4 linked regions of the Anolis sagrei genome follow. The protein of the gene in region 1 interacts with the protein of each later gene in a biochemical or structural test. Links are inferred from orthologs where the notes say so. Each region holds a gene or a part of one and is shown in the gene's direction. Other genes may lie near its edges. The genes, in order: PRMT1, FBL, FUS and BTG2.

What was found.
Region 2: of the proteins of PRMT1 (region 1) and FBL, one has a biochemical effect on the other in vitro, tested with the Homo sapiens proteins (2 studies listed by BioGRID). The link is inferred for Anolis sagrei from reciprocal best matches to the Homo sapiens genes PRMT1 and FBL.
Region 3: of the proteins of PRMT1 (region 1) and FUS, one has a biochemical effect on the other in vitro, tested with the Homo sapiens proteins (3 studies listed by BioGRID). The link is inferred for Anolis sagrei from reciprocal best matches to the Homo sapiens genes PRMT1 and FUS.
Region 4: the proteins of PRMT1 (region 1) and BTG2 form a complex in vitro, tested with the Homo sapiens proteins (2 studies listed by BioGRID). The link is inferred for Anolis sagrei from reciprocal best matches to the Homo sapiens genes PRMT1 and BTG2.

Annotation. Positions count from the first base shown.
Region 1 is NC_090026.1:22,289,016-22,295,920, forward strand, and holds the start of PRMT1 (protein arginine N-methyltransferase 1), read left to right. Parts: upstream 1-3,880; 5' UTR 3,881-3,965; coding exon 3,966-3,995; intron 3,996-6,905. UniProt on the Homo sapiens protein: Arginine methyltransferase that methylates (mono and asymmetric dimethylation) the guanidino nitrogens of arginyl residues present in proteins such as ESR1, histone H2, H3 and H4, FMR1, ILF3, HNRNPA1, HNRNPD, NFATC2IP, SUPT5H, TAF15, EWS, HABP4, SERBP1, RBM15, FOXO1, CHTOP, MAP3K5/ASK1, MICU1 and NPRL2.
Region 2 is NC_090034.1:87,654,763-87,661,604, reverse strand, and holds the start of FBL (rRNA 2'-O-methyltransferase fibrillarin), read left to right. Parts: upstream 1-3,824; 5' UTR 3,825-3,939; coding exon 3,940-3,949; intron 3,950-4,065; coding exon 4,066-4,152; intron 4,153-6,842.
Region 3 is NC_090026.1:14,969,956-14,977,820, forward strand, and holds the start of FUS (RNA-binding protein FUS), read left to right. Parts: upstream 1-4,855; 5' UTR 4,856-4,947; coding exon 4,948-4,960; intron 4,961-7,865. UniProt on the Homo sapiens protein: DNA/RNA-binding protein that plays a role in various cellular processes such as transcription regulation, RNA splicing, RNA transport, DNA repair and damage response. Binds to ssRNA containing the consensus sequence 5'-AGGUAA-3'.
Region 4 is NC_090024.1:191,488,814-191,496,057, forward strand, and holds the start of BTG2 (protein BTG2), read left to right. Parts: upstream 1-4,235; 5' UTR 4,236-4,414; coding exon 4,415-4,589; intron 4,590-7,244. UniProt on the Homo sapiens protein: Anti-proliferative protein; the function is mediated by association with deadenylase subunits of the CCR4-NOT complex. Activates mRNA deadenylation in a CNOT6 and CNOT7-dependent manner. In vitro can inhibit deadenylase activity of CNOT7 and CNOT8.

The DNA of each region.
Region 1 (6,905 bases):
ACAGAAGGCCTGATTCTTGCAGCCCAGGAGCAAGCCATCAGAAGAAATTCAATTAAGGCCAGAATTGAAAAATCAGCTGTTGACCCAAAATGCAGTCTGTGCAAGGAAGCTGATGAAACCATTGAGTATATCCTCAGCTGCTGCCAGAAAATCGTACAGACGGACTACAAACAAAGACACAACTCTCAGATGATTCACTGGAACTTGTGTCACAAGTACCAACTGCCAGCAGTAAAGAATTGGTGGGATCATAAACCCGCAAAGGTCGTGCAACATGAACATGCAAAAATACTGTGGGACTTTCAAATCTAGACTGACAATGTTTTGGAACACAATACACCAGACATCACGATTGTGGAAAAGAAAAATGTCAGGATTATTGATGTCGCCATACCAGGTGAAAAACAACAGGAAAAACTCAGCCGCTATCAAGACCTCAAAATCGAACTGCAAAGGCTCTGGCATAAACTAGTACAGGTGGTCCCAGTGGTCATTGGCGCACTGGGTGCTGTGCCAAAAAATCTCAGCTGGCATTTGGAAACAATAAACATTGACAAAATCACCATCTGTCAACTGCAAAAGGCCACCTTACTTGGATCTGTGCGCATCATTCGAAAATACATCACACAGCCCTAGACCCTTGGGAAGTGTTTGACTTATGATTTTGTGATACGAAATCCAGCATATGGATCTCGTTTGCTGTGACATACTGCGCCTTTGTGTCAATAATAATAATAATAATGCTTTTATGATATGCCAGTCTGATTCCTCTTCAGAAGAGATAAAGTGGGGTGTAAATAATGATGATGATGATGATAATAATAATAATAATAATATCAATCAGTTAAATAAAATTGAAATAAATACACAAATAAAATGGAAAGAATCGTTAAATGAATAAATACATTTAACCAAATTGATTTTAAATAAAGTAAATGAAGCAAACTAATAAAAATTGTAGAGTGATGGCAAACTACAGCTCCCAATAGGATCCCATAGCATGGAGCCAAGGAAGTTAAAGTGGGTTTAAACTTCATTCATTCTGCATTGTACATGCATTCTCCAGTGCCTTAGGGGGTGCATCTACACTGTAGAAGGAATGCAGTCTGACACCACTTTAATGACCTGGCTCCATGCTATGGGATCCTATTGGAAGTTGTAGTTTAGTGAAGCACCAGCACTCTTTGGTATCAAATTTGATTGATTCTAGTGCAGGCATGGACAAACCTCGACCCTCCAGGTGTTTTGGACTTCAACTCCCAGAATTCCTAACAGCCGGTAGGCTGTTAGGAATTTTGGGAGTTGAAGTCCAAAACACCTGGAGGGTCGAAGTTTGCCTGTGCCTTTTCTAGTGTATAGATCTCTTTTTCTCACCTCCTTCCTGTTCTCTATAGAGTCGGACGTGAGTCTAGGCACATAGACGAATTTCACCACTGCAACTTAAAATTCTCAATGGTATCTCGACTGAACCAATGAGCTTTCAAGAGAGAATTCTGGGTTTGTGAATGGCACACCCACTTTGTCCTTACTAGGAGAGCTCTGGCTGGAAATTATCCAATGAGGCTTTAGGATTTTTTTTATTGACAGGCAATCTATCCAATAGCTGATCGCACAAGCAGAAAAGGCTGTTCTTCGTCGCTGAGTGACGTCATGCCCTTCCATATAACATTTGACCTTGGCAATGAATGAACACAAACCAATGAAATAAATTACTGTCCTTTCCAAATTCGGATTGACATGTTTGTCTGCCAATACAGATTTGTCAATAATTTATCCTAAATGATGGATATGCCATTCAGCCAATAAGGAAATGAAGGCTTTTTAATGACACTAAGTGAATACTATCAATGGGGGTAAAAAAAAAAGATTGATAGGTGATGAGTGTACACTGTAGACTTAATGCAGTTTGATACCGCTTCAACTCCCACGTCTCAATTATATGGAAATTTGGGCTTTGTAGTTTTCGGCATTTCTCTGCCTTCAGCATGTTAGGCCCCTTGTATAGTCCCAAATAAAATCCAGATTATCTGCTTTGAAGTGGATTATATGTCAGTGTAGAGTCATATAATTCCATTCAAAGCAGGTAATTCAGATAATCTGCTTTGAACTGGATTATATATCAGTGTAGACTCACATAATCCCATTCAAAGCAGATAATTCGGATTATCTGCGTTGAACAGGATTATATGACAGTGTAGACTCGTATAATCCGATTGAAAGCAGGTAACTTGGATAATCTGCTTTGAACAGGATTATATGTCAGTGTAGACTCATATAATCCCATTCAAAGCAAATAATTCAGATAATCTGCTTTGAACTGGATTATATGTCAGTGTAGACTCATATAAACCGATTCAAAGCAGATAATCCGGATTATCTGCGTTGAACAGGATTATATGAGTCTACACTGACATATAATCCCGTTCAAAGCAGGCAATTCGGATAATCTGCTTTAAACAGGATTATATGTCAGTGTAGACGCATATAATCTGATTAAAACAGATAATTTGAATTATTTCATTTGAACTGGATTATATCTGTGTAGCCTCGTGTGATCCAGTTCGAAGCAGATAATTTGAATTTTCTGATTTGAACTGGATTATATATCAGTGTAGACTCGTGTGATCAGGTTCAAACCAGATAATGCGTATTATCTGGTTTGAACTGGATTGTATGTCGGTGAAGACTCATATAATCCGATTCAAAGCAGATAATTTGGATAATCTACATTGAACCAGATTATATGTCAGTGTAGACGCATATAATCCAAGTCGAAACAGATAATTCGGATTATCTGGTTCGAACTGGATTATATGTATATCAGTGTAGACCAATGTGATCCGGTTCAAAGCAGACAATGCGGATTATCTGCTTTGAATTGCATTATATTGGTCTTCACTGATATATAATCCGGTTCATTTGCGGATTATCTGGTTTTATAATCTGAGTTATATGGTTGTGTCGAAGGGCCCTAGGTTACATGGCAGTGTATTTATTTATCGTGTCAGGACAGTCAGTCGATTATATTACATTTCTAACAGAACAAAGCAAACAAACAGAGAAAATACAAAATGTGTGAGTTTGGTAGTTAATTAAATGTCCTTTGACCAGTATCTGGCCACTTGGAGTGCTTCTGGTGTTGCTGCAAGAAGGCCCCCCATTGTGCATGTGGCAGGGCTCAGGTTGCATTGCAGCAGGTGGTCAGTATAGAAGGAGCTTTATATTGTCATGTACTTCTTGACAATTAATGCATCGTTTATGGGGCTAAAGAGAACCTCTGTTCTTTGATTGTCAGTTTCGTTAACAAATCCGTTTCTTTGTCCCACCCCTTTGAAACAAAGCAACCAATGATGATTGAGAATACGGAACCCTTTGCTTTGACAGGCATTTCCATCACCAATAAATCTTGGAATATTAGCTCCAAAACCCGCCTCCCTCTTTTAATTGGTGGTCGTTTCTTTTCCGGACCAATCATATTTCATACTAACAAACGGGCCCGCCTCTTGGTTCGTGATTGACAACGCTCTGTTCTTTGGGTGTCTTAAACCAGGCATGAGGCAAACTTCGGCCCTCCGGGTGTTTGGACTACAACTCCCACAATTCCTAACAGGCGGTAGGCTGTTAGGAATTGTGGGAGTTGTAGTCCAAAACACCCGGAGGGCCGAAGTTTGCCCCATGCCTGTTTCTAAAAGAAAAAAAGCCCGCCTCTTTTACGGAAAGCACCCAATGGGATTCGAACGTCGGTTTGATGGAAGATCCCGTCGAAGAGTGTGTCGCGTCAACCAATGGGAAACAAGGAGGCGGGGCTTATTTCCCCACCTCTTTCTCTTTCTCGGGAGTGACAGCGGAGCCACCCAATCGGAGGGAGTCCCACCTCCTCGGCTGAACGAGAGCGTTGAGGGGAAAGGGGAGGGGGCGGGCGCGCGAGACGGCTTCTCTCTCTCTTTCAGCGTCTCATTCGCAAGATGGCGGAAGCTGCAAACTGCATCATGGAGGTGAGGGCGCGTGGGAGGGGTGGAGGGAGCGGGAGAAAGGGGGAAAGGGGCTCCAGGGAGGCCTCAGGCCCCACACACCCCTTCCCCATCGAGCCCGGGCCCTTTGGGGGGACCTTTAAGGAGGGACCCCCCACTCCCTTCCCATTCAAAGGCCTGTCCGCCCCTCATAGTGAACCCCAGGGCGCTTTCCCCCATCCTCGAGGGTTCCTTCTCCTTCCAAGAGAAAGAAAGGCCTTTGGGTCTCATTGGAATCCCCTCTTCTCCTACTGAAGGTTTTATTTTCTCTCCCCACATCAGTATGAGGAATGGATTTTTCTGATTTATTACTATTATATATCTTATTAGTTTATGATAATTTCCCCACATTGTTTTTAGGAACGCATGCTTCCCTGATTTGTTATTATTATAACCCAATTTTTGATAATATTCTAAGGAACATATTATTATAATATTATATTTACACCCCAGTTTATGATAATCTCCCCACATTGTTATTAGGAACACATGCTTCCCTGATTTTTGTTATTATTATAGCCCAATTTTTGATAATCTCATTCTAAGGAACAGAATATTATTATATTAGATTTACATCCCAGTTTATTGTAATCTCATTCTAAGGAACAGATTATTATTATAATATTATATTTACATCCCAGTCTATGATAATCTCCCCATATTTTTATTAGGAACGCATGCTTCCCTGATTTTTGTTATTATAGCCCAATTTTTGATAATCTCATTCTAAGAAACAGATTATTATATTATATTTACAGTTTATTATAATCTCCCCATATTTTATTAGGAATGGATGCTTCCCTGATTTTTGTTATTATTGTAACCCAATTTTTGATAATATCATTCTAAGGAACAGATTATAATAATAATATTATATTTACATCCTAGTTTATGGTAATCTCCCCACATTTTTATTAGGAACGCATACTTCCCTGACTTGTTATTATATCTTAATTTTCGATAATCTCATTCTAAGGAACAGATTAATATTATTATATTTACACCCCAGTTTATTATAAGGAACGGATGCTTCCCCGATTTTTTTTATTATAGCCCAAATTTTGATAATCTCATTCTAAGGAACAGATTATTATTATAATATTATATTTACACCCCAGTTTATGATAATATCCCCACATTTTTATTAGGAATGGATGCTTCCCTGGTTTGTTGTTATTATAACCCAATTTTTGATAATCTCATTCTAAGGAAAAGATTATATTATATTTACATCCCCACATTTCCCCCCCTCCATATTCCAGAATATCAAGACAAAATCCCACAATGGGCCCTTCTACACACACCCCTATATCCCAGAATATCAAGGCAGGAAATCCCACAGTATCTGAGTGTGGACTCAGATAACCCAGTTCAAAGCAGATATTGTGGGATTATATGCCTTGATATTCTGGGATATAGGGCTGTGTGGAAGGGCCCTGAGTCCACACTGCTCACTTGATATGTATCATCATTATTGTAGGATATTTTCAGATCATCTCCCAAAATTATTCTGAGAAATAATGAGGAGTAATAATTATTATTATCCCAATTTTTGATAATCTGATCTCCATAAGGAACAGATTCTTCCTACTTGATATGTATTATCATAATTATAGGATATTTTCAGATCATATCTCCACATTATTCTGAAAAATAATGAGGAATAATAACAATAATATTCTAACCCAATTTCTGATTATCTGATCTCTGTCAGGAACAAATTCCTCCTCACTTGATCTCTATTATCATTATTATAGTATAGTATATTTTCAGATAATCTCCCCCACATTATTCTGAGGAATTAGTATTATTATTTTATTATTCTATCCCGATTTCTGATAATCCGATCTCTATCAGGAACAGATTTTTCCTTCTCACTTGATATGTATTATATAATAATAATAATAAACTTTATTTATACCCAGCTCGGCTTACATGAGGCCATATAATTATAGTATATTTTCAGATCATCTCCACATTATTCTGAGGAATAATGAGGAGTCATTTTTATTATATTATTATATGATTATTGATATGAATTATTATATCCCATTTTCTTAACGAGGCTCAAAAATACTACAATTTAACATCGATGGATTGTAATATAATATTTTCGAATTTCTGATCATCTCCCCACATTATTCTGAGGAATAATGGGGAATCATTTTTGTTATTATATTATTATTTCCCAATTCCTGATCATCTGATCTCATAAGGACAGATTTGTCTTCCTCATCATTTGATATGTATTCTGATATTCAGTGGGTGCTATGAAATTATGCGGCCTCCTTTTCTCTAAAGCTGGTTCCCTCCGCAATTCGGCTGCTTCCCTCCTCATGGTCCCCGCATGGCATGATGGCACGCCTCGCCCCGGAGGGCCCCGCCTCCTCCGGCCCGTCCAGCCCCGCCCCCGCCCGTCTAGGAAGAAAGCGCGCCGGGCCCCGAGAAATCCGCCTCCTTCCTCCCCTTTTGTGGACGGATCCCCTTCCTTTCCTCACCCCAAACCGCCTGGAGCTCTCTGCCCCATAGAGATGCCCAGAGCGCTTCATGCTCCCTTCTCTGTGCCAAGCCTGCAGCCATCTATTGGGATGAACCTAAGGACACGTGGAGCACGTCTGCACTGTCTCCCCAATGGCGCTCTTTGTCCAGAGAGAAGCCTCCCACCCCTGGAATAGCATGGGATGTTTCCCCTGTTCATTGGAGCCATTTTTCCTCCAGCACCGTAAGAGTGCAGTAGACTCTTAGGCTCCTTCCACACAGCTCTGTACAATCGACATTGAACTGGATTATATGGCAAGTATGCACTCCTAACCCAGGGCCCTACCATACAGGACCTATATCCCAGGATGTGATCCCAGGGTTTCTGCTTTAAACTGGATTATATGAGTCTGCACT
Region 2 (6,842 bases), on another chromosome or scaffold:
TTAGGGTCCCACATGTGATAATATGTCAATCAAAATCATAAACAACCAATGAGCAGCTGTAAAGCTAGCTTAGACCAATGAAATGATTTGTCTGTGGGAACCAATGAGAATGTGTATGCCAAAAATGATAAAAGCTCTGCAGACAAACCTTTGATTGCATTCCTATGTGCATGTTTGTCGATACAGTGTTCTCTCGCTACTTCGCGGTTTGCTTTTAGCGGACTCGCTGTTTTGCGGTTTTTCAATAAATATTAATTTAAAATATATATCGCGGTATTTTTGCTGTTTCATGGGTTTTTGCTGCCTTCGCTCTCCAACACACTTTCCCTCCTCGGTCCTTTCTCCCTTGAAGGGCCTTTCCTTCCTGCGTTCTCTCTCTTCACCTGGTGAAGGGAAAGGTGAGGAGGGCTTGCTTTCTTTCCTTCTTTGCCACCGCACTGACAGGGAGGCAGGTACGGGGAGCCCCGGGGGAAGGGGGGGAGGAGGAGGAAACCTCATGCACAGCTACCCATGCGGAAGATTCAGGAGTGTTTTAAAAGAAACAGGTACAGTACATGTACTGTACAGAACAGTGTGGGAAAGGTTATTAAGGGAAAGGATTATGTAGTGTATATGTGTGGGGAGGGTTTATTTTAAGTTTATAAAGACTTTAAAAAGTGTAGGTAAAAGGTAAAGGTTGTCCCCTGACATTAACTCCCCTAAGTTTGGGCATTTGGAGTGCCCCCTCCCCCCCCCCCATCGGTGCACCTTCACTTCTTTTTTGACTTGGGTGATGGTTGGAGTATTTATATAGGTATCTATCTGTGTGTGATTTTGGCAACTGGACTGATTGATAAATGGCAAATAGAGGGAGAAAACGTGGAGACAGTGACAGACTTTGTATTTCTAGGTGCAAAGATTACTGCAGATGCAGACTGCAGCCAGGAAATCAGAAGACGTTTACTTCTTGGGAGGAAAGCAATGACCAATCTCAATAAAATAGTGAAGAGTAGAGACATCACGCTGGCAACCAAGATCCACATAGTTAAAGCAATGGTATACCCTGTAGTAACCTACGGATGTGAGAGCTGGACCATAAGGAAGGCTGATAGAAGGAAGATAGATGCTTTTGAACTGTGGTGTTGGAGGAAAGTTCTGAGAGTGCCTTGGACCGCGAGAAGATCCAACCAGTCCATACTTCCAACTGCTCACTGGAGGGAAGGATATTAGAGGCAAAGATGAAGTACTTTGGCCACATAAGGAGAGGAGAGGAAAGCTTGGAGAAGATCATGATGCTGGGAAAATGGAAGGAAAAAGGAAGAGGGGCCAACCAAGGGCAAGATGAATGGATGGTATCCTTAAAGTGACTGGCTTGACTCTGAAGGAGCTGGAGGTGGTGACGGCCAACAGGGAGCTCTGGCATGGGCTGGTCCATGAGGTCACGAAGAGTCGAAAGCAACTGAACAAATAAACAACAACAAAATTAATATATGTGCTAGCACTTGGTATTGATCGTGCTTCCTGCAGTGGGGCAACAAATACTCCGTCACACTCTGGAAGCCATGGTTTAATTATTTCAGGATTTGAGGTCCTCTGAATGATATGACACTTATTTGCCTGCTTGCTCTGCCTCTTTAGCTCCAGTTCTCCCCAATATCTTCTATATAAATAAAAATGTAATGTTCGTTTGTGGGATTAACTTAACTCAAAAACCACTGGACGAATTGACACCAAATTTGAACACAAGACACCTATCAGGCCAATGAGTGACCACCACTCAAAAAATTGAGCTTATCATTTGGGAGTTATAGTTGCTGGGATTTATAGTTTACTTACAATCAAAGAGCATTCTGAACTCCACCAATGGTGGAATTGAACCAAACGTGGCACACAAAACTCCCACGACCAACAGAAAACACTAGAAGGGTTTGGTGGGCATTGACCTTGAGTTTGGGAGTTGTAGTTCACCTCCATCCAGAGAGCACTGTGGACTCAAACAATGATGGATCTGGACCAAACTTGGCACGAATATTCCATATGCCCAAATATGAACACAGATGGAGTTTGGGGGAAATAGACCTTGACATTTGGGAGTTGTAGTTACTGGGATTTATAGTTCACCTACAATCAAAGAGCATGTTGAACCCCATGAGATAGAACTCATAGAAATGAGGAAAATGGAAGGAAAAAGGAAGAGGGGCCAATCAAGGGCAAGATGGATGGATGGTATCCTTGAAGTGACTGGCTTGACTGAAGGAACTGGGGGTGGTGACGGCTGACAGGCTGGTCCATGAGGTCACAAAGAGTCGGAAGCGACTGAACAAATAAGCAACAACATCAATATGTGTGGGTTTTCTGTAAACTCTGTGACTCAACTATTGATTGGGTTTGCAACCGTACCTCGCGAAGGCTGATCTGGCCGGGGTGGTCCATGCCTTGGTCACCTCTAGATTGGACTACTGCAATGCGCTCTACGTGGGGCTGCCCTTGAAAACGGCTCGGAAGTTCCAACTGGTCCAACGAGCAGCGGCCAGGATGTTAACTGGGGCCCCTTACAGAGAGAGGTCAACCCTCCTGTTCAAGGAGATCCACTGGCTGCCGTTTATTTTCTGAGCCCAATTTAAGGTGCAGGTGCTTACCTACAAAGCCCTGAACGGTTTGGGACCATCCTACCTGCGTGACCGCATCTCCGTCTACAAACCCACGCCCTCACTTCGGTCAGCTGGAGAGGCCCTGCTTATGATCCCGCCTGCGTCGCAAGCGCGTTTGGTGGGGACACGAGACAGGGCCTTTTCTGTGGTGGCCCCCCGACTCTGGAACACCCTCCCCAAAGATCTTAGACAGGTCCCTACACTGGCAGTCTTTAGAAAGAACCTGAAGACCTGGCTGTTCCGATGTGCCTTCCCAGAATAGGAAATCTCCAATACCAAGTCCCAGAAGCACTTTATTAAAACTAAGATTACTGCACACTGCACTTGCCCTATAAGCCTTATATACCACCTGTCACATCAGCACTTTTAATCCTGTACCCATTACTCTGGCCCGGCCCAGTTTTATTGTGTCTTAGTGTATTGTTTATTGCTTGTTGTTTATTTATATTGCTTTAATTGTTTTTAATTTGCCTTTGGTTTGTATTGTTGTATTGTGCGTTGAGGCCTTGGCCTTTGTAAGCCGCATCGAGTCCTTCGGGAGATGCTAGCGGGGTACAAATAAAGTTTAATAATAATAATAAAATAATAATAATTTGCAGATAACTACTATGACATTTAGAAATGGCAGTTTTCCTTCATTTTCTTTTTCCATAGTGAATTGGATGTTTGGGTGGATGCTGCTGAGGTGGTCCAGGAACTTGTTCAGCTCTTTTTCTCCATTTTCTCTGGTTATCCCTTCTTTTCCAATATCATAAGCGCTGGTTGTTTCCAAAATGGCAGCATGGGTGGGGAGAATTAACAGGAAAACGAGGAAATGGTTTCACTCCTTCAGCCCCTCCCTCCCTTGGAAAATGGGTTCTCCTTCTCTCTCTCTCTGGCGCCTCCTTGTGGCCTCCCCCTCAGATAGTGAAACTAGCCAAAGTTATTATAATAACGGACATTTTGTAAATGTCGCTACAGTTTTCCATTTCTCTGTGGAGGCGCCTTGTATTCACAGAAGCGCCAGAGCAGACACAAACAGCCATGGGCCTAATCTGACCTTCCAGCTGGAAACGGAACAAAGATGGCGCCGACTTCAACAAGCAAACGGCAGCGAAAAGGCCTGGAATTGAAAGCCCGCACAGCGCATGCGTAGAATGCTCGACGTCAGTTGAGGCGGGCTTACGTTACCCCGCCCCCTCCCCGGCCTGCTCACGCACTTCCGGTGCGCCAAGGGATCCTGAGCGCGTGGGGCTCTGCGTGCTTGCACTTCCGGTCTTGGAATTTCAGGCGCGTGTGGCGTTCGTGCGGTCTGTGATCGGCAAGCAAGATGAGGCCCGGTGAGAGCGAGGAGAGGGAAGGAAGGAGGGGAGCCCTTAAGGCCGGAGGGAGGGAGGGAGGGCCCGAGAGGCCGCCCGGAGCCCGGCCTGACGTCTACCTTGTGCTCGTCCTGCAGGTTTCAGCCCTCGCGGGGGACGTGGGGACCGCGGAGGACGCGGCGGCTTCGGGGATCGTGGACGCGGAGGCTTCCGAGGAGGTCGAGGTGGGTTTCACGCTCGGTTTATTTTCAGTCCAAGCTGCCAGAAGTTCCTTTTTTGGATTACTCCCAAGTTTGTAGTAGGCGCAGAAACCTGCAGAAAGTTCTTCCTCGTGTTTAATTCTTCTTCTTCTTCTTTATTTATTAATTATGTATTTACTTCATTTGTATACCGCTATTCTCAGCCCTAAGGCGACTCATGGCGGTTTACAACAATCAAGCAAGAACAAGGCAAACAATCAGGCAAAAATTCAATGCGGCATCAACAAGATACTTAAAAACAATTAACACAGAAACAAATTAAACAATTTAACAGTAATAAACATTCAAGTGGTGCCTCATAACTACAATCATGATCCAAACTCGTCAGTCGTGGTTCCATTTCCTGAAGTCATTGCACTGCTTATTCAAGCGCCTGTTCAAATAGCCAGGTTTTCACTTTTCCCCGGAAAACCATCAAAGAGGGAGCCAATCTAATGTCCGTGGGAAGGGCATTTCACAGCCGAGGGGCCACCACCGAGAAGGCCCTGTCTCTCGTACCCGCCAGCCGTGCCTGTGTTGCAGGCGGGATCGAGAGCAGGGCCTCCCCGGAAGATCTCAAAGTCCTAGTGGGTTTGTAGGTGGAGATGCGATCGGATAGGTAACTTGGAAACTTTATACCCCGCCACCATCTCCCCAAGGGGACTCGGGGCGCCTTACATGAGGCTAAGCCCAACAATTACAACAGTGCAAATATACAACATAAAAATACTATAATGAAAATAAAATACAAGAAGCTGCCAGAAGTTCCTTTTTTGGATTACTCCCAAGTTTGTAGTAGGAGCAGTAACCGGCAGAAAGTTCTTCCTCGTGTTATTATTATTATTATTATTATTATAAAACTTTATACCCCGCCACCATCTCCCCAAGGGGACTCGAGGCGGCTTCCATGAGGCCAAGCCCAACAATTACAACAGTGCAAGTATACAACATAAAAATACAACAGTAAAAATATAATGAAAATAAAATACAAGAAGCATTACAAAGTAACACACACGGTGCAAATTAAAAGCACAATAATTGGGCACAGTGGGCAGGGCCAGTTGCAAAGTTAAAAAGATTTAAAACACTGGGTGGGATGAGCAGTGTAGTGTATCTGGAAGGAGGATCTGATGGGACGAAACAATGGGGTTTAATTGCACTGGAGGATATTTATTTATCGTGTCATCTGCAACCAGAACATTGTATTACATTTCTAACAGGACAAAACAAACAAACAGATAAAAAAAACACAAATTTTGCAAACTTGGTAGCTGATTAAATGTCCTTTGACCAGTATCTGGCCACTTGGAGTGCCTCTGGTGTTGCCACAAGAAGGTCCTCCATCGTGCATGTGGCAGGGCTCAGGTTGCATTGCAGCAGGTCGTCTGTGGTTTGCTCCTCTCCACACTCGCATGTCGTGGATTCAACTTTTTAGCCCCATTTCTTAAGATTGTCTCTGCATCTCGTGGTGCCAGAGCGCAGTCTGTTCAGCGCCTTCCAAGTCGCCCAGTCTTCTGTGTACCCAGGGGGGAGTCTCTCATCTGGTATCACCCATGGATTGAGGTGCTGGGTTTGAGCCTGCCACTTTTGAACTCTCGTTTGCTGAGGTGTTCCAGGAGGATAAAATAAAGTGCATCCGAGGGCATTTTATGCAGGGTTTGGTCAAGGTCAGGGATTGTTGATCATTCATTGAAGGCACACTGGAACAGCCAAGTTTTTAGGCTCTTCCTGAAGACTGCCAGGGTGGGCGCTTGCCTAATTTCTCCGGGGAGCGAGTTCCAAAGCCGAGGGGCCACTATAGACAAGGCCCTTTTCCTCATCCCCACAAGTCGCGCTTGCGATGGAGGCGGGAGCAAGAGAAGGGCCCTCCGGAAGATCGAAGGGGTTGTGTAGGTTCGTGGAAGGAAATGCAGTCACGAAGGTAGTTAGGTTTTTGTCTGCCATTTGAAGCTATTTCTCCATTGTGTCCTAGTTTTTTCAAAAATGACAAAAGATTGAGAACATGGAAAAAGAAAAACACTTGTGAATTCATAGCTCCATCTGAACAACAACTTGCTCAGGCATGGGCAAACTTAGGCCCGCCAGGTGTTTTGGACTTCAACTCCCACATTTCGTAAGGGTAGGCTGTTACGAATTATGGGAGTTGTAGTCCAAAACACCTGTTTGGTGTTTTGGACTTCAACTTTGTCCATGCTTGAGTTAGCTGATATTTAGGGAAGATAAGATTTCTGGAATCAGGATATTCTTTGTGCTATTTGGACAAGCTTAAGAAGCTACCCCAAGGTTCCAAATTGTTTGAGGAGAATATTGTTGCACCAGCTCCACTGGCTGCCAGTCTGCTACCAACCATAATTCAAAGTGCTGGCTTTAGCGTATAAAGCTCTAAACAGTTCCAGCTTACCTGTCCGATCATATCTCTCTCTATGAACCACCTCAGAGATTAAGATCGTCTGGGAAGGCCTGCTCTCAGTCTTGCTTCCTTGCAAATGCTACTGCAAATGCGAATTTAATTTAAATTTTTAGTGGTATTGGAATTATATGTGTTTTAAAGCATTGAATAATTGGAGTTGGAAGAGATCACAAGAGCCATCCATTCCCACCCCTTGCCATGCAGGAACACCCAATCAAAGCACCCCCGGCAGATGACTATCCAGTTTCTGTTTTAAAAATCTCCA
Region 3 (7,865 bases), about 7.3 Mb from region 1:
AGACCCCCCCCCCCCCCCGGGCGGTTGAGAAGAGCAGGGTAAAAATGCTATAAATAAATAAATAGCTGACCTCTAGTTAGAACATTCCAGTTAGAACAGTGGTTCTTAACCTGTGGGCCATGGATCACCATTGAGCTGCGAGGACGAAAATCTGGTCTACGAGCCTCCTTCCTCTTTCTTTTATTTTATTTGTTTTAAAATATTATTTTATTTCCGCCATTTTTGTGCCACTTGCCACTCCTTCCCTGTTGCTGACCATGGTATATGTTCTACATCAGAAACTAGAACTGATGTGGTCTATCCAATGCAATTTTCTGAATCAGCACCCCAAACTGAATCTAAAGTTTACCAAAAAGTGATTCGTAACGCTGTTGGTACTAATGTTGGAGAGTGATCCCTGGTCAAAGTGGTCCCTGGTCAAAAAAAGGTTGGGAACCACTGAGTTACAACAACTTAGGGAACTGGGCATGTTTAGCCTGAAGAAGAGAAGGCTGAGAGGAGATATGATAGCCATGTATAAATATGTGAGAGGAAGCCACAGGGAGGAGGGAGCAAGCTTGTTTTCTGCTTCCTTGGAGACTAGGACGCGGAACAATGGCTTCAAACTACAAGAGAGGAGATTCCATCTGAACATTAGGAAGAACTTCCTGACTGTGAGAGCCGTTCAGCAGTGGAACTCTCTGCCCTGGAGTGTGGTGGAGGCTCCTTCTTTGGAAGCTTTTAAGCAGAGGCTGGATGGCCATTTGTCAGGGGTGATTTGAATGCAATATTCCTGCTTCTTGGCAGGGGGTTGGACTGGATGGCCCATGAGGTCTCTTCCAACTCTTTGATTCTATGATTCTATGAACTTAACTTTGATTTTGTTTTAATAGTTCTCAGCCTGTGGGTCCCCAGGTGGTTTGGCCTACAACTCCCAGAAATTCCAGTCAGTTTACCAGCTGTTAGGATTCCCCTTCAGGAGAGATAAAGCTCAAGGGCCAGGCTTCCCAGTTCTCTGTGTCTATGCCACAGTTTTTAAGGTTGGCTTTAAGCCCATCTTTAACTCTCTTTTCCTGTCCACCAACATTCCATTTTCCATTCTTGAGTTGGGAGTATAGTACCTGCTTTGGGCATTCAGACAACATGGCCAGTCCAGCGAAATTGTTGCTGTTGTTGTTGTTATTATTATTTGATACAAACCAAAATTAGTACACAGCAAACAAGATTACTATACTGGCTTTTGTATTAGATCACATGCCGGACACTTCCCAAGTGTCTAGGATTGTGTGATGTATCGGCTAATAATGCATGCAGATGCCAGTAGGGTGGCCTTTTGCAGCTGACAGATGGTAATTTTTATCAGCGCTGATTGTTTTTAAGTGCAGGCCAAGGTCTTTAGCTACTGCACTCAGTATGCTGATCACCCCTGGGATCACCTTTACTGGCTTGTGCCAGAGTCTTTGCAGTTATTTAAATCCTCATATCTAAGCTTTTCCAGTTGCTTCTCATCAATCCTGCTGTCGCCTGGGATGATGATGATTATATCAAAACTCTAGAAGGTGCTTATCCTTGTATGGCATACAGTACAGATTCAAGTGTAAAATCTAGTTTGTGAAATATTAATGCCTCCATTTATTCAGTGGGGGCCAATTACTTCCTTTGAAACACAAGTTCTTTATCCAGAAATCTGAAAGATGCTGCAAAATTGTCCACATGGGTGGCTTCTGTTGATTCAGTGTACACCAGCTTTATATTAAGGCACAAAATTATTAAATTATAAATAGAAAATTATCTTCAGACTATTTATGCAAAGTGTATATTAAACATAAATGAATTTTGATTTTAGTCTTGAGTCCCATCTCCAATATATCTCATGAAATCTATCTATCTAGCTATCTGGGAATGAAAACTGAAATCAAAAATACTTTTGGTCCAAAGCATTTCGTTAGGATTTTACCTGTTAATTTTAATTAATACCATTGATGTTTCTATTTCTGTACCATCAGTCGAGGGGCCCTCCCCCCAGCACCAACTGCTGCTCTGGGGTTAGAGTGAGGAGGGGAGGCCAGGAAGACAGTTCCACCTTATCTCCTGTGCCCTCATTTGGGGGCTCTTCCCCCCAGCAACAATATAGTACTATATATTTAAACTGCTGAGCTGCTGAACTTGATCGAAAGGTCGCAGGTGCAAATCCGGGGAGTGGTGTGAGCTCCTGCTGTTAGCCTCAGCTTCTTGCAACCTAGCAGTTCGAAAACATGCAAATGTGAGTTGATCAATAGGTACTACTCTGGCAGAAAGGTAATGGTGCTCCATGCAGTCATTCCGGCCACATGACCTTGGAGGTGTCTATAGACAACGCCGACTCTTCGGCTTACACATGGAGATGAGCAACAACCCCCAGAGTCGGACACAACTAGACTTAATATCGGGGGGAACCTTTACCTTTACTTTATAATCACCAAGGACTGGGAAGCCCTGGCATTTTGGCACTAGTCAGCTGCAAGGGTGCTATGGATTTTGATGGGGAAGGGAAACAGGGTTTCTTGCAGCCAGGAAATCAGAAGATATTTACTTCTTGGGAGGAGAGCAATGACCAAAATTGATAAAATAATAAAGAGTAGAGACATCACACTGGCAACAAAGATCCACATAGATAATGCAATGGTATTCCCCGTAGTAACCTATGGATGTGAGAGCTGAACCATAAGGAAGACTGAGCAAAAGTAGATGCTTTTGAGCTGTAGTGAGGAAAATTCTAAGAGTGCCTTGGACTGTAAGAAGATCCAACCAGTCCATCCTCCAGGAAACAAAGCCCGACTGCTCATTGGAGGGAAGGATACTAGAGGCAAAGTTGAAGTACTTTGGCCACATCATGAGGAGACAGGAAAGCCTAGAGAAGACAATGATGCTGGGGAAAGTGGAAGGTAAAAGGAAGAGGGGCCGACCAAGGGCAAGATGGATGGATGGCATCTTTGAAGTGACTGGACTGACCTTGAAGGAGCTGGGGGTGGTGACGGCCGACAGGGAGCTCTGGCATGGGCTGGTCCATGAGGTCACAAAGAGTCGGAAATGACTGAACGAATGAACAACAATAATAAAATACAATAATATTACTTATATATTATATATTACGTGTAACATTACTAATGATATTACAGTATAGTGGCATAGTACAATATAGTAATATATAATGCCAATATTGTGCTAGGCTAATAATATAAGACACTAGCTGTCCCCTGCCACGCGTTGCTGTGGCCCAGTCTGGTGATCTGGATATGAAGTAATGAGAATGTGTTGGTTTCTAATATATGTAATGTCTTTATGCTTGAGGGTAAACAGTATTTCTCGTTGTTTCTTTGCCAGTGTTGATGTGGAGATTGTCTGGTTTGCCTACTCTGGAACATGTAACATATCATTGTCCTTCTTTAGGGGTCCCTTTCAAATCTTTGATACTGCATCTGTCATATACATATATGTGTGTGTGTGAATGGCTGGATGGCCCTTTGTCAGGAGGCTTTGTTTTGTTGCCCTGGTGAAGGGAGCTGGGCTGGATGACCTTAAGGCAGCATTTCTCAACCTGGGAAGTCAATACACCCGGGGGGGGGGGGGGTCACCAGGGGGGTGTCAGAAGGGTCCCCAAAGACCACCAGGAAACACAGTATTTCCTGTCGGTCATGGGGGTTTTGTGTGGGATGTTTGGCCCAATTCCATCGTTGGTGAGGTTTGAAATGCTCCTTGATTGTAGGTGAACTATAAATCCCAGTAACTACAACTCCCAAATGTCAAGGTTTATTTCCCCCAAACTCCATCTGTGTTTATATTTGGGCATATTGAGTATTCATGCCAAATTTGGTCCAGATCCATCATTGTTTGAGTCCACAGTGCCTTGTGGATATAGGTGAACTACAACTCCCAAACTCAAGGTCAATGCTCTCCAAACCCTTCCAGTATTTTCTGTTGGTCATGGGAGTTCTGTGGTTCAATTCTATCGTTGGTGGAGTTCAGAATGCTCTTTGATTGTAGCTGAGCTATAAATCCCAGCAACTACAACTCCCAAATGACAAAATCGTAATTTTTGATTGATGGTCACTCCTTGTGTAGTGAGACATTTTGTTGCCAAATTTGGTGTGATTTCGCTCATTGGTTCTTTTCTTTTTATGGTACGCATTATGCACAGAGCATTTATATAGATAGATAGATAGATAGATAGATAGATAGTATGTACATATAAGCGCTCTGAATCCTCTTCGGGGTGAGAGGGGGCAGGGGATAAATATAGTAAATAAATAAATATTTTAATGTTTGTATATTTTTGGATTTTAATTGGTGCTGAGATTCTTTTCATAGAATCATTGAGCTGGAAGAGACCTCGTGGGCCATTTAGACCAACCCCCCTGCTAAGAAGCAGGAAAAGAATGTAGTGTAAACGGGCTGCAAATAACAACAACAATATAGGAGTCGTTAAATATATTATAATCCACTGGAGAAAATGTCTTGTTTGTCTTCAGAAGCAATTTCCCATTTATTTATTTATTTTGCTTCTTCCTTTTCTGACCCCCTTCTTTGCCAATTTGGTTGCTTCCAGTCTTCCTCTGTGAGCTCACCCTAACCTCCGTTCTATATGGACTGTACCATTTCAGTGCGGTAGGGGGGGGGTTGGAATCCCATTCTGTTGGAAACCAGTCCCGTGAATTAACCTCGCCTGTTAATTATTTAAATCAATGATTGATATTAGCTTGGGATTCTTTGGGAGGAGATGGCGGCGAGTTGTTCAGTTTAGTGGGGAGAGGAAACGATGTCTATTCTCGGCTCTCCCCCCACAAACTAACATGGTTCGGCCTAAAGGCTGAATGGGAGGGGGAAGTATATAAAGGAAAGAGCGGGCTGGGAAAGCGCTCGGAGGCAAGGAGACGGGAAGGAAGGTTGCTTTTGGCCGCTTTGGGGGGAGACTTGGAGGGGTCTACAGCAATGGCGTCTAACGGTGAGGAAGAGGATACAAAAGGGTGTAATATATTGAATTTTGTAGCGGGTGCAATGCTTGAATCCAGAGTGGAGCCATTGAATCAGCGAGTTTGACTCACCAGGAGGAATTAAGATTCAATGGTTGTATTCTTGGTTCTGATAAACTAAAACTAAAGATTGCAATGGGGTTGGAATAGGATTTTCAAAGGGATTGGGTCTCCTAGGATGTGTTTTCCCTTTCTCTGGGGGTTACACGATTCCTTTACATGCATAGATCTTTATTGCGAAATAGATTGGGTATTGTATTGTCGAAGGCTTTCATGGCTGGAATCAATAGGTTCTTGTGGGTTTTTTCGGGCTATATGGTCATGTTCTAGAGGCATTTTCTCCTGACGTTTCGCCTGCATCTATGGCAAGCATCCTCAGAGGTAGTGAGGTCTGATAGAACTAGGACAATGGGTTTATATATCTGTGGGAAGACCAGGGTGAGGCAAAGAACTCTTGTCTGCTGGAGCTAGGTGTGACTGTTTCAACTGACCACCTTCATTAGCATTTGAAGGCCTGGCTGAGCCTGGGAGAATCTTTTGTTGAGAGGTGAAACATTCACACCTAGCTCCAGCAGAGAAGAGCTCTTGGCCCCACCCCAGTCACCCCACCCTCTGGCCATATAGCCCGAAAAAACGCACAAGAACAGATTGGGTATTATTACAACGGAGGCCATTTTGTACCCCATTTGAATAGGGTGACTTCCATTTTACGGAGCGAAAGGCCCCTTAAATAGCGGTTTCATATGGAAATAGTATTATGGTTGGGTTTATATACTAAGGGGTAATATTCGGAGGCCATGCCGGTCGCTTTTGGCTGTCTAGAAGGAAGAGATCTTGAACTGCGCCATTATTCGCCGCCATTTTGTGCCAGCGTGAGAACTAGGCCACGAGGAGGGGCAGTTCCGCTCTGGAAGGAGCGCGAGGGAGGGCTGGGCTTTTATAGGGAGGGGAAGGAGACGGGGCTCCCCATGGCAACGACACACGGGCAGTGTTCGGCAGCTGCGCATGCGCGAGTGAACACGCTGAGGGGGAGGAATAGACAATGGAAAAGTACTCGAGGTGTGTGCCGGCGTTTCAGATGCTTAGTTAGGAGAGGAAGGAGCGGCGCGCGCATGCGCTGGGGAAAGAAAAGCTTGCGCATGCGTATACAAGGCTGTTTGTCGCAGTGTTACATCCGGGCCCTTGCCCTTCCCCATTCCTTTGGAACGTTGTCCACCCCGTTGAGTCATTCTCTTCACCGCCCACGAGCTCAACTGTCATTTTTTTTGCCCTCTTCGCGGGATCCGCGCATGCGCAGGAAGCCCCTTTGACTTCTCATTTAAAGCGCTGATGGTTCTGATTCCAGCTCTTCTATTCTTTGTTACCTCAGCAGCCTCTACTTGTGTGGGGGCGACTTCTCATACACACAGACACATATATATAAATAACTCTGGAGGCCCATGGGTGGGTTTGCTTCTTTTTACAGCATTTCCTGATCCATAATGTGTCTAGATCTAGGGAAGTCATGCTACCCATGCTCTATTCTGCTTTGGTTAGACCACACCTGGAATATTGTGTCAAATTCTGGGCACCACAATTCAAGAGAGATATTGACAAGCTGGAATGTGTCCAGAGGAGAGCGACTAAAATGATAAAGGGTCTGGAGAACAAGCCCTATGAGGAGCGGCTTAAGGAGCTGGGCATGTTTATCCTGAAGAAGAGAAGGCTGAGAGGGGATATGATAGCAATATATAAATATGTGAGAGGAAGCCACAGGGAGGAGGGAGCAAGCTTGTTTTCTGCTGGCCTGGAGGCTAGGACGCGGAACAATGGCTTCAAACTACAAGAGAGGAGATTCCATCTGAACATGAGGAAGAACTTCCTGACTGTGAGAGCCGTTCAGCAGTGGAACTCTCTGCCCCAGAGTGTGGTGGAGGCTCCTTCTTTGAAAGCTTTTAAACAGAGGCTGGATGGCCATCTGTCAGGGGTGATTTGAATGCAATATTCCTACTTCTTGGCAGGGGGTTGGACTGGATGGCCCATGAGGTCTCTTCCAACTCTTTGATTCTATGATTCTATAATACAATGTAATTTTTTCTCCTCCCCAATGAAGGCGTTCATAGAGCAGCCATGGCCAAACTTAGGCCCTCCATGTGTTTTGGACTTCAACTCCCACCATTCCTAACAGCCTCAAGCCCTTTCCTTTTACCCCCTCAGATGAGGCTGTTAGGAATGATGGGAGTTGAAGTCCAAAACATCTGGAGGGCCCAAGTTTGGCCATGACTGTTCTAGAAAAAGCTATAGTTGTGACTCAAGGGGAAAGATGTTGATTTTGTCTTCCTGCACAAAGGCAGTGTATCTGTTTTGTAGAAATTGGATTAGGATAATTATTTATTATTTACTTCATTTATATACCGCTTTTCTCAGCCCTCAGGCGACTCAAAGCGGTTAACAACAGCAAAATTCAATGCAAAAACATCACAAAACAAATATGGGACAGTTAAAACAGTAGCATCATCAACGATAAAACATCAATATAACAATCATTAGTATCTCATCAGTAAAATCCGAATCCAATCTCATCATCCATTATTCCATATTCCTATATTCAATTATACTGCTTAATCAAATGCCTGCTCGAACATGCCTCAGGCCTCTGTGAATTTTCCTGTCCTCCATTTGTGTGTGCGCTTGTTTATGTTTGTTTATTCTATTTTGGTAGAATGTTGTGACTTGTCCCCGAGACACACAGAACAAATAATGTGGTGGAACAAGAGGGACTTGTGTAGCTTCTCTTCCTAGCTGTCTGGCCTCATTTACACTGCTATATAATGCAGTTTAATTGTGTTGAGCTGCATGATGTGAGTCTACGCTACCCATATAATGCAATTTCAAGCT
Region 4 (7,244 bases), on another chromosome or scaffold:
GGTCAAGATGGTTGAAACATTCTGGGAGTTGTAGTCCAACAAAATAAGTACTCCATGCTTCATTTTCTATGTGTCTCAAAATTCAGATTGTTCAACATGGTATCAAAGTCAGAGCATCTGTACAGACAGGTCATAGAAGCACCCTTGTCTCTTCATCAAATCAGCTTCAGTAAAATTTACTGAAACTAGACATCCTCTTTGTTAATACAGCAGCATTACACACATCCCACACACGTGATAGATTCCAACTGTTATCGAAGGGCTAAAAATATAAACTCAGGTTTCTAAATCTGGTTCTAATACCAAAAGTCTCTACAAAGGCTTGCTGATGATCGAAACAACTCTCTTCTCTTTAGAGTTAGATGTGGTGACAAATATGTCAGAGATAATTTGAGGCAGGGGACTGATGAGGCTTACATTCATGTAAATATCTAGTTAGGAATAAATCCCATTATATTCAAGGAACTTAATTCTGAGTAGAACATGGACAAGTGTGCATGTCTTGGTTTTGTCTCTCTTCCTCCCAGTCACCTGGAGGAAGTCATGCAAGGTTTCACAATACATGGCTGTTTAGTTGATTGTGCCTATTTATACCAAGAAGATGGGGGTTTGAGAAACTGTGGACGTGTTCAAAAGCACATGACTTGCAAGCATATAATTGAAAAAGAAAAGAAAATGGCCTGGTATGCAGAGTGAGGGGAGAGGTATAGCATTTATTGCAACCTCTTCTTACCTGGTATATCAGAGAAACACTCCGTTGCTGGATTACAACATTTAAAATATGAAAAGTATATGTGTGGGGAGGGGGAACTATTCAAATTTGAAGGAATCATTTGGGTAAAAGTTAGAATAAATAGGTGATGCATTGACAAATAAAGGCCTTTGCATAGATAAATATACAAAGCCCACACACAGTGGTAAATGCTTGGTGGTATGGGGATACCAAGCCACCTTGTCCATCTCCTGTCTGTCTCCTGAGGAATCTGTATAACGACCAAGTAGCAACAGTAAGAACAGACCATGGAACAACAGACTGATTCAAGATTGGGAAAGGCGTACGGCAGGTTGTATACTCCCACTCAACCTATTCAACTTGTATACAGAATGCATCTTCAGTGCGGCGCCTGAAGAATCCAAGGCTGGAGTTAAAATTGCTGGATGAAACATTACGAACCTCAGATATGAAGATGATACCACTTTGATAGCTGAAAGCGAGGAGGAACGGAGGAGCCTTATAACCAAGTTGAAAGAAGAAAGTGCAAAAGCTGGGTTGCAGTTAAATATAAAAAAGTCAAGATTGTGGCAACCAGACTGATTTGATAACTGGCAAACAGAGGGAGAAAACATGGAGGCACTGACAGATTTTGTATTTCTAGGAACAAAGATTATTGCAGATGCAGATTGCAGCCAGGAAATCAGAAGACGTTTACTTCTTGGGAGGAGAGCAATGACCAATCTCAATAAAATAATTAAGAGTAGAGACATCACACTGGCAATGAACATCCGCATAGTTAAAGCAATGGTATTCCTCATAGAAATCTATGGATGTGAGAGCTGGACCATAAGGAAGGCTGAGCGATATGGAAGGAAAAAGGAAAAGGGGCCAACCAAGGACAAGACGGATGGTTGTTACCCTTGAAGTCACTGGTTTGACCTTGAAGGAGCTGGGGGTGGTGACGGCTGACAGGGAGCTCTGGCGTGGGCTGATCCAGAAAAGCTTAGGAAAGCTTAGAGAAGACAATGATGATGGGAAAAATGGAAGGAAAAAGGAAGAGGGGCCGACCAAGGGCAAGATGGATGGATGGCATCCTTGGAGTGACTGGATTGACCTTAAAGGAGCTGGGGGTGGTGACGGCCGACAGGGAGCTCTGGCGTGGGTTGATCCATGAGGTCACAAAGAGTAGGAAGTGACTAAACAACAACATGCATACAGTGGGCCCTTGATATCTGCTGGGGTTTGGTTTGGACCTCCGTGGATATCCAAATCCATGGTTTCAAAAATTTAATGTTATACTAAAATGACCTTCTGTATACAAGATTGTAAAATGTTTGCTTTTTGGATTTCTTAAAGATTAAGCCATGGGTGGTTTCTTACATTGATACAAAAGGCCAAGTGTTATTTTGAATGGTGGCACAGCCAAACAATGTATGTAAATGTTGGGCTGCTCTTAAGTTTAGCAAGAGAAAGTGTCTTGTAGCCCCTTCTAAATGCAACTCCCAGTGGTCTAGATCTCTTTTACAGTACACAGTTATAGGCAATCCCCAAGTTATGAACAAGATAGGTTCTGTAAGATCAAGTACATTTTTAAGTGTAACGCCTGCCTGCCCGCTCGCCCACCCGCCCATCCATCCATCCATCCATCTATTCTAGCTTTGGGTAGCATAGGGAAGGATTAACATCCCTGTGGTGTTTGTTTTGCCGTCTGTGCCCCTGTTCAGAAGATTTCACCTCACCTTCTGTCCCTGTGATAATTCGATTTTGAAAAACGTGGCTTGTTGTGGAAAGAAGAATTGGTGAGAAAGCTTTAATGGAGACACCTTTTGCCCATGATAACTATTTACAGAAGTGAATTTCTCTTCTGAGGGGTAGATTGCTCTCACTTCTTGTTGTCTCACCCCAGTTCTTAACTATGAGTTGTTTGTAAGTTGGATGTTTGTAACTCGGGTACTGTCTGTGTATCATTTTCATGCCACTTCAATTACTGTGGCTGTGTAGAATCCTGGTATCTGCAGCTTGGTGGTGGTCAATTGCTTGACCTCCCTGGCAGAAAATTCTAAATATCTCATACTTGAAGCTGAGAGAATGTGACTTGCCCAAGGTCACCAAGCGGGATTCCATAGCTAAGTGGAAATTCAAATCCTGGTTTCCTTAGCAGTATCTTAACACTCAAGCTACCACACTATGCTGGCTCTCTGCTGGTCATGTGTCCACTTTAGCTTCATCATGACCCCATCTTCCGAGTAAATCAACAGACTATACCTTTTGTTTTGCTGCATTTATAAATTTATTTTTGCTTTCCCCACAAGGTGCATACCTGCCTGGTAAACAACAATCTGGGGAGTCTGGTGACCGAGATCACTATCTTTCTAGTGAGCTGGTCATTTGCCATGGTTGGCCCAGACCTTTTATTCGCAAATAATAAAGGTCTTTAAAGCTGGTGCCTCACTAAATGAGAACTCCCTTAGCATTTGCCTTGCCCTGACTGTTGTTTATATGTTATCAGTTTTGGGGCCTTGAATGTTTGCATTTTTGTCATTTTTGTAAACTGCCCTGAGACCTTTGGGGAGAGAGGGTGGGTTATAAATATATTATTATTATTATTATTATTATTTACTCATATCAGATAAAGTGGAGTCAAACTGCAAGAATTCTACAGTGGAGATACCACTCAATTTGATGGATTCATGGGAGTTGTGGTGCTTTAATTATTTTTTACTGGTTTGATGGGATTTTAACTATTGGTTTTTAAACATTCTGTTTAATTCTATTTTGATCATTATATGTTGTTGGTTTTAAATAGTATTTTTTCATGTGAGCGGCTTTGAGTTTTGTTTAAGAGAGAAAAGTGGGATATAAATATAACAATCATGGCTCAAAGCTGTGAAATCCTGGGAGTTGTAGTTTTCCAAAGTCTTTAGCCTTTTCTACCAAAGAAAACAGGTGCCTCACTTAGCTCCAGCAGACAAGAGTCCTTTGTCCCACCCTGGTCTTTCCACAGATATATAAACCCATTTTCCTAGTTCCAACAGACCTCACTACCTCTGAGGATGCTTGCCATAGATGCAGGCGAAACATCAGGAGAGAATGCCTCTAGACCATGGTCATATAGCCCGAAAAAACCTACAACAACCCAGTTAGTGTTATATTTTGCTGAATGGGACACAGATCTGGTCAAAACAAGCAGATTTTCCCAGGTTGTTTTGCTAACTGTGTTTCCTTTCTTCCAGCCAACCAACCCCTATTCTCTCTCTCTCCCTTTCCTCTTGATCCTGCAGCTCCCCTACTAGGCAAAGCCCTATAAATAGCCCCATTGCAGAAGGCCTCCTCCCCCTCCTCCCTCTCCTCACCCCAGCTGCTCTGACCATGTTCCCGGAGCCTGACTTTCCGAGTACCGACGTCACAACTTCCACCCTGCTGAGGTCACAACTTCATTAGCATATCCAGCGAGCGCTCGGCCAATCAGGAGCTCGCTTCGCCGGTGACGCCTGCCTGGTCCAAGCGTATTAAGAGTCCCGCACGGAGCCAGAGCTGGACGAGTTAAGGGAGGGGGAGAGCGGCGGACGCGAAGGGCGCCTTCTCCGGAGAAGAACGAGAAGGAGAAGCAACAGCGCCGTCTTAAAGGGGCCGCCCTGAAACAAAGAGAGAGGAAAACAATCCGTCCCATTCCTTGAATCTTGCTAAACGAAAGCAATCATGAGCCAAACCCAGCGTTGGAGTGGGAGCTGCGTGACCAGCTGCAGCCGGGCGGACATGGTGCCCGAGATCGCCGCTGCCGTGGGCTTCGTGTCCAGCCTGCTCCGGACCCGAGGCTGCGTGAGCGAGCAGCAGCTCCAGGTGTTCAGCGGGGCTCTGGAAGAGGCGCTCACAGGTGAGGGAGGGGAGAGGGGATCTCGAGAGCCACATCCACAGTGTAGGTTGGACAGGGGCCAACTTGGGCCCTCCTTCCAGGTGCTTTGGACTTCAAGTCCCATCATTCCTAACAGCCTCAGGCCCCTTCCTTTCCCCCCTCAGCCGCTTAAGCGGCTGAGGGGGGAAAGGAAAGGGCCTGAGGCTGTTAGGAATGATGGGACTTGAAGTCCAAGGCACCTGGAGGGAAGGCCCAAGTTGGCCCATGCCTAGTAGAGATGCACCCTTTGTTCTGCGAGTCTTCTTTGTTCTTCTCCAAGAGGCAAGCCATGGCACAAAGTCCTCCCAAGCACTGTTGCAAACCACAGTAGGAGGACTGACCATGAGCTTTTGAGGACATTTGAAACCCCCCAATCCAGGAACCCAGTGGCTTTGTCCGAATCAACCCGCACACTGTTTCTCAACCTTCCCAATGCCGCAACCCCTTGATACAGTTCCTCCTGTTGTGGTGACCTCCCTCCCCAACCATAAAATTATTTTAGTTGCTACTTTGTAACTATAATTCTGCTACTATTATGGATCGTCGTGTCAATATCTGATCTGGAGGGTGTATTTTCATTCACTGGGCCAAATTTGGCACCAATACCCGATACACCTAAATTTAAATACTAGTGGGGATTGATTTTTTGTCATTTGGGAGTTGTAGTTGCTGGGATTGATAGTTTGCCTACAATCGAAGAGCATTCTGAACTCCACCAACAATGGAATTGAACCAAACTTGGCACACAGAACTACTGTGACCAACAGAAAATACTGGAAATGTTTGGTGGGCATAGACCTGTTTTGTGGGGGGAGGTTGATTTTGTCATTTGGGAGTTGTAGTTGCTGGGATTCATAGTTCACCTCCAATAAAAGCATTCTGAACTCCACCAATGATGGAATTGAACCAGACTTGGCACTCAGAACTTCAGTGACCAACACAAAATACTGGAAGGGTTTGGTGGGCATTGACCTTGAGTTTTGGAGTTGTAGTTCATCTGCATCCAGAGAGCACTGTGAACCCAAACAATGATGGATCTGATCCAAACCCGTCACAGATACTCAGTATGCCCAAATCTGAACACTGATGGAGTTCGGGGGAAATAGACCATGACATTTGAGAGCTGTAGTTGCTGGGATTTATAGTTCACCTACCATCAAAAGGCATTCTGAACTCCATCAACAATGGAATTAAACCAAACTTGGCACACAGGACTCCCATAAGTAACAGAAAATACTGCATTTTCTGATGGTCTTTAGTGACCTCTCTGATACTCCCTCACAATCCCCAGGTTGGGAAATGCTGAACTAGAGAACCATGAGATTGAGGACATTTGAAACCCCCAAATCAGGGAACCCAATGGCTTTGTCTGAATCGACCAGCAGCAAAGGACCTTGGAAGAAGGGGCAGCTGAGCTTGTCTATTCTAGGATATCAACACATAGTCTTGTGGCACCGCCAGAGCTCTGAGATTTATTTCAGAAGGGATTTCCGTGGCTCACAAGTACATCCTGAAATCAATCTGTTCCTCTTAAAGGTGTCACAAAGCCTTTTGATAATTTGCTTAAGTGTCTTATATTACAGGCAAGTCTGGTCTTGCAACTTCCTCAAGGTGTATTATTCAGTGCTGAAGTGAGTGTTTGTGCTGTCGAAAATATAGTTTCCTCATAGCTCCATCCTTTGTCTCTAGATGTAAGCCTGGTTGAATTCACCAGTGTTTAACATCAGGCAGCCATTTCTTCCTGTTGTTTATAACTATGGGCTCTCTGAATCTAATATTTTATTCGATAATACAATGAAGGCTTTCATGGCTGGAATTATTGGGTTGCTGTGAGTTTTCTGGACTGTATGGCCATGTTCCAGAAGCATTCTCTCCTGAAGTTTCATCTACATCTATGGCAGGCATCCACAGAGGTTGTGAGGTTTGTTGGAAACTAAGCAAGGGAAGTTTATGTCCAGGGTGGGAGAAAGAACTCTTTTCTGTTTGTAGCAAGTGTGAATGTTGCAATTGATCACCTTGATTAGCATTGCAAAGCCTTGCTTAGTTTCCAATATGCCTCACAACCTCTGAGGATGCTTGCCATAGATGTGGGCGAAACGTCAGGAGGGAATGCTTCTGGAACATGGCCATACAGCCCAGAAAACTCACAGCAACCCAGTTTAATACAGTTTAAGAGATTTTCTAAGCACAACTCATGACACAATAGAGTGGTATGTTGAGTTGAGGTACAGGAGTGGATTGCAAAGGCTGTATGCTAATGGCATTGTCTGCTAAGGAGCTTTCAGTAATCATGGTAGCTCTCTGGTTAATGCCTCCTGGGTTCTTCGAGCCCAGACTTGTACAAGTACATCTCTACTACCAAGTAACTGAAGTTTGGCACTACTATTAACTGCTATGGCTTCATTGTCTAGTAGCTTGGGATCTGAAGTTTAGTGGGGCACTTAGAATTTTCTGTAAAAGCGTATTACTGCATTCCTATGACTTGGAGTACTAGGAGTCTGTAACAAAGAATTCTTAAGTGTCTCACCATGATGGTTTATAGCAGCATCAGATTTTTTTTCCATATCAGGAGCAACTTGAGAAACTGCAAGTTGCTTCAGGTGTGAGACAATTGGCCATCTGCAATGACATTGCCCA